2 linked regions of the Struthio camelus genome follow. The protein of the gene in region 1 interacts with the protein of each later gene in a biochemical or structural test. Links are inferred from orthologs where the notes say so. Each region holds a gene or a part of one and is shown in the gene's direction. Other genes may lie near its edges.

Region 1 (3,920 bases):
GGCTTGGCTCTGAACGCCAAGGAGGTCTTTACCCAGTATCCCTCATCCTTCTCTGCCAAATATTCCAGCATCATGGGACTGCAGCACCAAAGACCCTTAACACAGAGGCTTGATGGCTATGTTCCTGCTCCAAAATGAGGAAAGGATGTGGCCAGCTGAGAACCGGCACCCTCAGGTTTTCTCTTTCTGTTGCTGCCTCTTCCCTGGTCTGTAACTTAGCACTGCAGGACCCATGCCCGTGCCTTACACAAGGCAGCTACTGGTCTGGGCTTGGCCCTACCCTGCCTAATCTGTCCAGACTGCACAAACAAGAGTTTGGCCTGCACTGAAGTGCCTCAGGTCCTCCATCTGGGGAGGTACACCTCTTCACAGAGCTTCTGGCTTTGTAAGGCGGAAGCTGAGCTGCACACTCAGCTGACAGTGCAGAGATGCCCTGTCCTTGCCTCCCTCCTCCTGCCTGCAGATCACGTCTATGACCTATTTGGTAGCCTCATATCTGAGGTCTTGCATCCCTGCTCGGTCCCTTTTGCCATGTATTTCCCCGATCCAGAGCCTAGAGCTCTTCTCAACCTTCCCCATTTCCCATCCTTTATGAAGACTCCAGAGGGATTGCACATCAGGCTACAATTAGCAGTTCTTCTGTCTGTGCAGGGGGGATCCTGCTATTGCAAATGGCACCACTGATTTGCAATCATACGTCATTTTGCCTACCATCGTTCCTAGGCAGCAAGCAGGTAAAGGTCTTCCTTCTCAGTCTCCTCCTTTCAAAATGCTTGTCTGGTCCATGAGTAATGGGTGTTCTTTTTTTTTCATGCTTTAAAGGTTGTGCCTCACAGTTATGACATCATGGCAGTGATGCATTGCCCTCCGGCAACATCGCCAGAGCAGAACATGATTTCTGTCGTCCTGCCTTTTGTCTTCCAGTCCTAGCTACTGCCTGGTACACCTTGTTTCCCTGAGCCTCAGAGTTACTGAAGCAGAATAATAACTGAGAGGTGAGTAATTGAGAAGCTACCTGACCAGATTTAGACCTGACTGTAAACATCTTCTCTGGTAACAATGGGAAGGAGGATCCATGTTTGCTAGGGTACAGAGCAACTGAAGGAGAAGGATGATACACAGGTGTCCCTGGGTGCACTCACAGAAGGCATTCACGCAGTGTATGTGCAGTAAAACTCTGCTCCAGAAACCAGCATGGCTCCACAAACTTCAGTGAATTTGCACCCACTTTTATTAGCTGAACTTCTGAGACAGTATTTACGTGATAGGTAGGTGCACTGGCTCTCACTGTGTGACCATGCCTCCAACACACTTAGCATGCACACACAGGAACACGGGTACTGTGTACACCCCCCTCCCCCCCCACCTCAACAAATGCACTCACAAAGATATGTGCTTATACAGGTAGGTGGAGACACCTGTTCTTCTCCAGGAAGTGAGACAGACAGTTCCTCAGGCTGTTTCAGGATGGTCCTTTGCATTTGAAAGAAAGAGATTAACAAACTGGAGCAACTCCGGGGAAGGACCAGTAAGCTGGCTAGGGGGCTAAAGCATCTGCTCTATAAGGAGAGGCTGAGGTAGCTGGGTTTGTTTGGCCTAGAGAGGAGAAAGTTAGGAGGGGGAAGGGATCTAACCACCTTCTACTACCCAAAGCCGGGTGATAGAGAAGCTAGGTCAGACTTTTGTCAGAGGTGCTCAGCGAAAGGACAAGAGGCAACAACACAGAGATCGTGGAATCACCATGCTTGGTTTCATAGCCCGGCTGGACCTGGTGAAGCACTCTGATCTAACTCTGAAACTAGCCCTGCTCCAAGCAGTTGGTTGGACTAGAGACTTCCAGTGTTACCTTCCGCACTAAATGACTCTATGACTTTGGCAGTCCTACATGTTTGACAACAGAGTTTCCTTAATGCAGAGGCTGATCACAACCACTTGCATCTGATATGCTATAACAACCCCTGTGACCCCTGTGCAGATGGAGTGAATTCATTCATGGTGTCACTGCAAAAGGGGTTTTCTGGTTTCTCCTGGACTGTGATTCCCTGATTGTTTCTGACCAGCCTATGTCTGGGCTGCCACTGAATAATCCCTCTCACAGATGTGCCTTCCCAGCGTCTCTCTGGCACCTAGCTAGTCAACTGGGCCAAGAAAGTGATCCAGCTGGAAACATCTCTCATTCTTTTGGTTTATATTTGTTTCCAGCTCAATCAGCTGATTGTGTGATCTAGGGCTGGCAGTGGGAGTGCGAATATTGGAGGAGGAAGCAGAATAGGAGGGAAGGGGAATTCCTCTTTTGGGGGCTGCCCAAACTTGAGCTGGCTTAGAGCAATCATCAAACAACAGCCCTGATCTTTGTTAGGGTGAGAAGGAATGTGACGTTCCATCATTCTAGGTTAACCTAATCCAAGTTACTTGTCTCAAGGAAAGGGTGCACAGCCTCTCTTTCTTGAGCCATATGCCACCTGTGAGCAGTTCCAGGTGGCTGTTGTGGTAAGCTCAGGAGAGATGGTGCTGTGCTGGGACACAGCAGATGAAGATGCAGGGTAATCTGAAATCACAGCTACAGGAGGACACGAGCCAGTCAGTGTCTTGTGGCCAACACCTTTGGGTCTCAGTGCATGTCTGTGTGTGCCTGGCCTTGGTGCCTCCCATGGGGAGGGGGGAAGGACAGGAGTCCTACCTATGAACCATTCCCATAACTCCTGCACCCTCTGGATGCTTTCTGTCTTGCCTCTTAAAATATTTGGCCTGAGAACCATAAAAGCTCTGTACATGGTATTGAAGTTCATTAAATTTGGCAGCTTGTGTACCTCTGACTAAACCTGAGTATCTGACAATAGTAAGACCATGTGGTAAGCATTTAGCTCACTCAGCCCTGTGTTTCTGGGACTTGTATTATAGAGGAAGCTGGCTGTGCTGCTGTTTCCGCTCCTATAAAATATAGATAACTACCTCCTGGAGTGCTAAGTATGACTGTTTGGTAAGGATCTCTGAGGGCTGGCAGTCAGCGTGTGCTCTGTCCTCTGAAACACCAGCCTTTCACAGCTCCTAAGTAGAGTGGCTAATCCCTTGCCTCCCAATCTGCTGTTGCTTCCCAAAGCATTTCCGACATCTCAAAAGGAGGTGGGTGCCGCAACATCCCTCTTTTCTTCCCCATCGAGGGAAACTGAGTCACACAGGGGTGATGCCCTACAGACTGGTGGCAGGCCCAGAAAGAAAAATGCAGTCTGAAGCCCTGCTCACCATACTCCCCCACCCCAGCCACCATACACATGTGATCTGGTGGCTTAACTTTTCATGTCCTAGCTTTAATGAGCTTGTGTCAGGAATGGTATGTGCATAGCAGCCTTATCTGATGACAGTGACATTTTTAGCATGCTTATGCTTGGTTTTATTTGTAACCAGTTTCTAGGGCAATTCAGCTGAATGGTTTGAACAGCCTTGAAATGTGTAAGAACCCAATACGTACACTGGCTGCTCTGCCAGAGTTTTTGGGGGACTCTGGAGCATGTTCAGAGGCAAAAGGATCTGTAACAGACTCAGTTTGTGCACCAGATTTGCCAGCTGCAGCCTTTCACACACTCACTTGTGTCCAACAAACAACACTGGGATTTTTTTTTTGTTTGTTTGGTTTTCCTTTCTTTTTTTCTTCCGGTTCTCAGTAGTATCACGACCAGATGGGAATAGGTTTCCCATGGCCGATGCTGGTGACTCTCCAACCCATTTCTCCCTGAAACCCGCTACATCACAAATGCAGACGTTTCTCTTGCATCACAGCTCCAGCTAGTAGGAGGTATGAGTGAGAAAGGGAGGGGTCGTTTTCTAGTTTGAAATTTAAACAGCTGGATTCAGAGAGGGTTCCCAGGGTTTTTCCCAGGAAGGAGGTCAGTGGATTTTACAGGCACATAGCCTGGGAGCAA
Region 2 (3,920 bases), on another chromosome or scaffold:
TTTAAGCAGGCACTTAATATAAACAGTTCAAACTTTACTAAAAATCCTTACCCACTTAATGCAAACGAAAGGGTGTAATGAGGTTAAAGTCATGGGAATAAACAGTTCTTATGAACTGTTTAAATACAGCATGCAGCCTGAGGTGTTCAAGTGATTTTTCTGGGAGATGCAAAATCAGTTACTGGGGAATATAAGAAAGAAAAGCGTGGGGTTTTTTTGTTTCAAAATGCCATGCATTTGTGATGTGTGCTCTTGCTCTGAGGCTTTGTAGATGTCACAGAACAGACTTTTACTGGTGAACAGGCAACTCTAGACATCTGTGAGGAAGGAGTTTAATTTTTTAGATTTTTTGCAATTAAAAACAAGTTTTTGCTAACCTCTCTCTAGCATGACGAAAGTGGAAACTTACCTTCAAGCATATAGAGGCATGTGCGAAGACATCCCAACTCAGGTTGAATTTTGGTAATGCATAGTCAGGTAATGCATCTTCTAGAGCGAACACTTCCTCTTGGGGTCCAGCCGCTTCCTCCTCATGCATAATGCCCTAGTTTTGCTAGGTTCCCCCAAATCATTTCCTCAGAGTATGTCCACTCTGCAGACTCAGGTGTAGACGTAACTCACCTTAAACGAGCTTCTCCAGGTCTAGTGCAAGTTCTTGGAGCTGGGTGGCAGCTGAGCTACCTTGGTGTTTGATGAGAAATTTTAACTTGTGCAAAACTCTGTAGCGGTAGCTCATCAGCTTCCATCACCTGAGCTACCACCTCCCACCTAACACTCAGCTACCAACACAGAGACGCAACAGAGCTCCCGGAGGAGCAATGTCTGGTTTGCTTGGTATGCTGGAAAACAGTGCTAGGGACCACTGTTTTCAAGCGAATCGCAAGGTTGATTAGGAGCCACAGAGGATGACAGAATGTCAAAGTGACCTTTTGTTTTCAGTATAGTGAATTTTATTGCAAGGTTCGATGCTGCATGGGATCAATAACAAGTTATTTCATCACAGATCAAGATGAGTCTTGATACTGGCCCAGTGTTCAGGGGGCGGATTTGTTGGTTCAGATGTCCTCATCTGAGCAAGTCACTCAAGGCTCCCTTTATCGTCATGGGAGAGGCATTGGTTCGTCAGACCTGTTTTGGACATCCATGTTGGAGTGAGCTGAACCTGAAGCGTCAGCTTGTACCCCCAGTACAAGCCCAGGGCGCTAACTCAGGCATCTGCATGGCAGACTTCTACTTCTCATCAGGTGAATCTCACCCCCAGTGTCTGCTTAGTGACCCATCCAGTCTGAGATAAGTTTCCCCTCAGGGCAGAGAGGGAGTCCGTGGCTGTTCTCAGTTCAGAAAAGGTCCCAGAGCCCCTAGTTATGGTAGCGAGGGAGAAATGAGACACTCCTGTTCCTCCTTAGCAGGCTAATGTATACTCTTCTGAAGTCAGGCTACCTGTTTGATTTTCATTTTTCAGTCATGCTGTGTACCTTGAAGGAGAGGCTGGATTCTTACGGGTGAGCAACTGGCTGTACCAGCCACACCAAACTGATAAAGCTTGAATTTTGAATCGATATCATTACAAAGGCATGTACTGCAATGTGACAAAGAGTGGTGCTCAGATACGGATATTTGCTAGCTGATAACGGTCCTCCTCGTGGGACCATTGGATGCGACAGTTGCATAAAGCACCTCAGAACAAGGCTAGCCTCCATCCTCCAAAAGAGGTCTGAGGCTATTCACGTGAAGGAGACGGCCAGACTCTAGCGGCAACATGTCCAACCTGGAAACCGCAATGGGAATGACCATTGCCGTCTTTGACAAGTACGCGAAGACTCAAGGCAATCCGCAGACTCTCACCAAAGCAGAACTAAAGACTCTCCTGGAAAAAGAGCTACCTAATTTCCTCTCGGTAAGATAACAAACACTTCAGCATCATTTCTGTATAAGCGCGAGAGCTACACGCAGACGCAGTGGTCAGCACATTGCAGAGGGAACTCCATCCAGAAAGCTACAATGGTTTGCAGGAACTTTAAGTACATCATTTGAAGAAGAAAAGGCTTTGAGCATACCGTGTAAAATTGATTCTAATATTCAGGGCCAGCCCCAGTTCACCGAGTTCATCACTCAAGTTATCAGGAAAATGGCTTTGAAATAGATTATTTTTCATTTTCAGAATTCATCTACTTCTGTTTATTCCTGGGTGTATAATCTTAGATGATGTTGCAAGTGCTGTGAAGGTGGTTTTGTTGTCAACAACTGAGGATCTTGATTGCAGTGGGGAAATCTCTCTAAGTGTTTCCGTTACACCAGTATGCACACCAAAATGATATATAAACAAGAATAAGAGCAGATTGTTTAGCAATTGTCTTTAATCTTAAAAGAAAGACCTGAGAAACTATTTTATATAATAGATTTCTCTGTAATCATCATGTACATTTAAATGGTTTCAATATTTATATCTAAATTTCTCTAGACAGGTATTCAAACCTCTTAATATATTATAGTAAATGATTAGTTACTGGGGAGACAAAATGCCTTTCATTTTCAGTCATTTTTTATTTGCTTTCCTTCACTAAAAACCTAGAAAATGGTTTAGGAGTCCTGTTCTTTCTACACAGGAGTAGTATTTATCTATCTGTGAAATTATTCTCCTTACTTGCAAAAGTCTAGGACCAAATCTTCCAAGTGCGGACACCACTTTACGTATCCAGAAAAACTGAATTTTCTAACTATGTTAGAGCACTACAGCAAAGGTAGTTCATACAATTTAGTATCTTTCCATGATACTAAGCAGTAGAGCCACAAGCAGTAGAGTTCGCTGTACGACATGTACGCCTGTTGGATTTATGACTCATTAATTAAATACAGATGCAATATACAGAATAAGAATCCAGATGGCTCTGTGTAGTTACATGAAAATGTCTCTGAAAACATAGAAAATAGATCGGTGACTGTGACTCAGAAGCGTCATGGTAAGTATCTTGCTCCCGGTCATCCTGTTTTTGTAGTGCTTTCAGTTAAAAACCAACCTGCCCTCGCCACCCAAAAAACAACTAATTGTAAGGGTGCATGGAAATCCACGAGACACTTTAGAAACTTTAGTCTTTTTTTAGACATTTGATCTAAAAAAAGTTGGGGAGCCACTGCCCTAAATGGCTACCAGATGGGATAACTCTCCAAGGTCATTCCTGAATATGTCTACTGGTCGGGCACCACTTTTTTTTTATTTCCACATGACTGATTTTATTACTTCTATTTATTTCCTGAAACAGCAGAAAGTACTGGAATTTCCCAAGGAGGTAATTAGCTAAATGTCCTTTTATGCTCTGGCTTCTGCCTCCCTTACTTCCTTTTTGTATTCTACATATTCTAGAGAACAAATAACACCAAATAACATTTTATGTTAGCAGTTAAAATAAATTTAAAAGAACGATGTTCTGTCCTGTGGGCCAATAACTACATGCAGGGCGTGACTGAGAATATAAGTCTGACTTCACCAAAAAAATGACCATTTTACCTGCTTTTTAAAGACTTTCATATATGTGTGTGTGTGTGTGTGTGTGTGTGTATGTATATATATATATTTTTTTTCAACAAGAAAGACAGGATCCTCTAAATGCTCATCTATATTTGTGGTTTAGAAAACGTTATACCTGAAAAGAGCAAACTACCTAGAAAGCTCTTTATGAGCTTCAGTCAGAATCAGAATTTCCTAATTCGTGATCAGGAGGAGAAATAAATCCATACATTGGCCTAAACTATTGGACTAAGTTACTAAGTGTTTACATAGAATAATTAGCGGGTTACATTTCAGAAGCAATTCAGAAGCTAAAACTAGTTCATGCAAGTAGCTAAATGACTGTAAATATGCACTTGTAAACTGAAAAGGAACAAAAACCTTTCAGATACATTCATCAATCAAATCTAGGCAA

Evidence for each region.
Region 2: the proteins of MYH9 (region 1) and S100P interact in a biophysical measurement, tested with the Homo sapiens proteins (2 studies listed by IntAct). The link is inferred for Struthio camelus from reciprocal best matches to the Homo sapiens genes MYH9 and S100P.

The regions. Positions count from the first base shown.
Region 1 is NC_090942.1:59,388,639-59,392,558, forward strand, and holds the start of MYH9 (myosin-9), read left to right. Parts: upstream 1-822; 5' UTR 823-995; intron 996-3,920. UniProt on the Homo sapiens protein: Cellular myosin that appears to play a role in cytokinesis, cell shape, and specialized functions such as secretion and capping. Required for cortical actin clearance prior to oocyte exocytosis. Promotes cell motility in conjunction with S100A4.
Region 2 is NC_090945.1:74,099,366-74,103,285, forward strand, and holds the start of S100P (protein S100-P), read left to right. Parts: upstream 1-1,687; 5' UTR 1,688-1,759; coding exon 1,760-1,897; intron 1,898-3,920.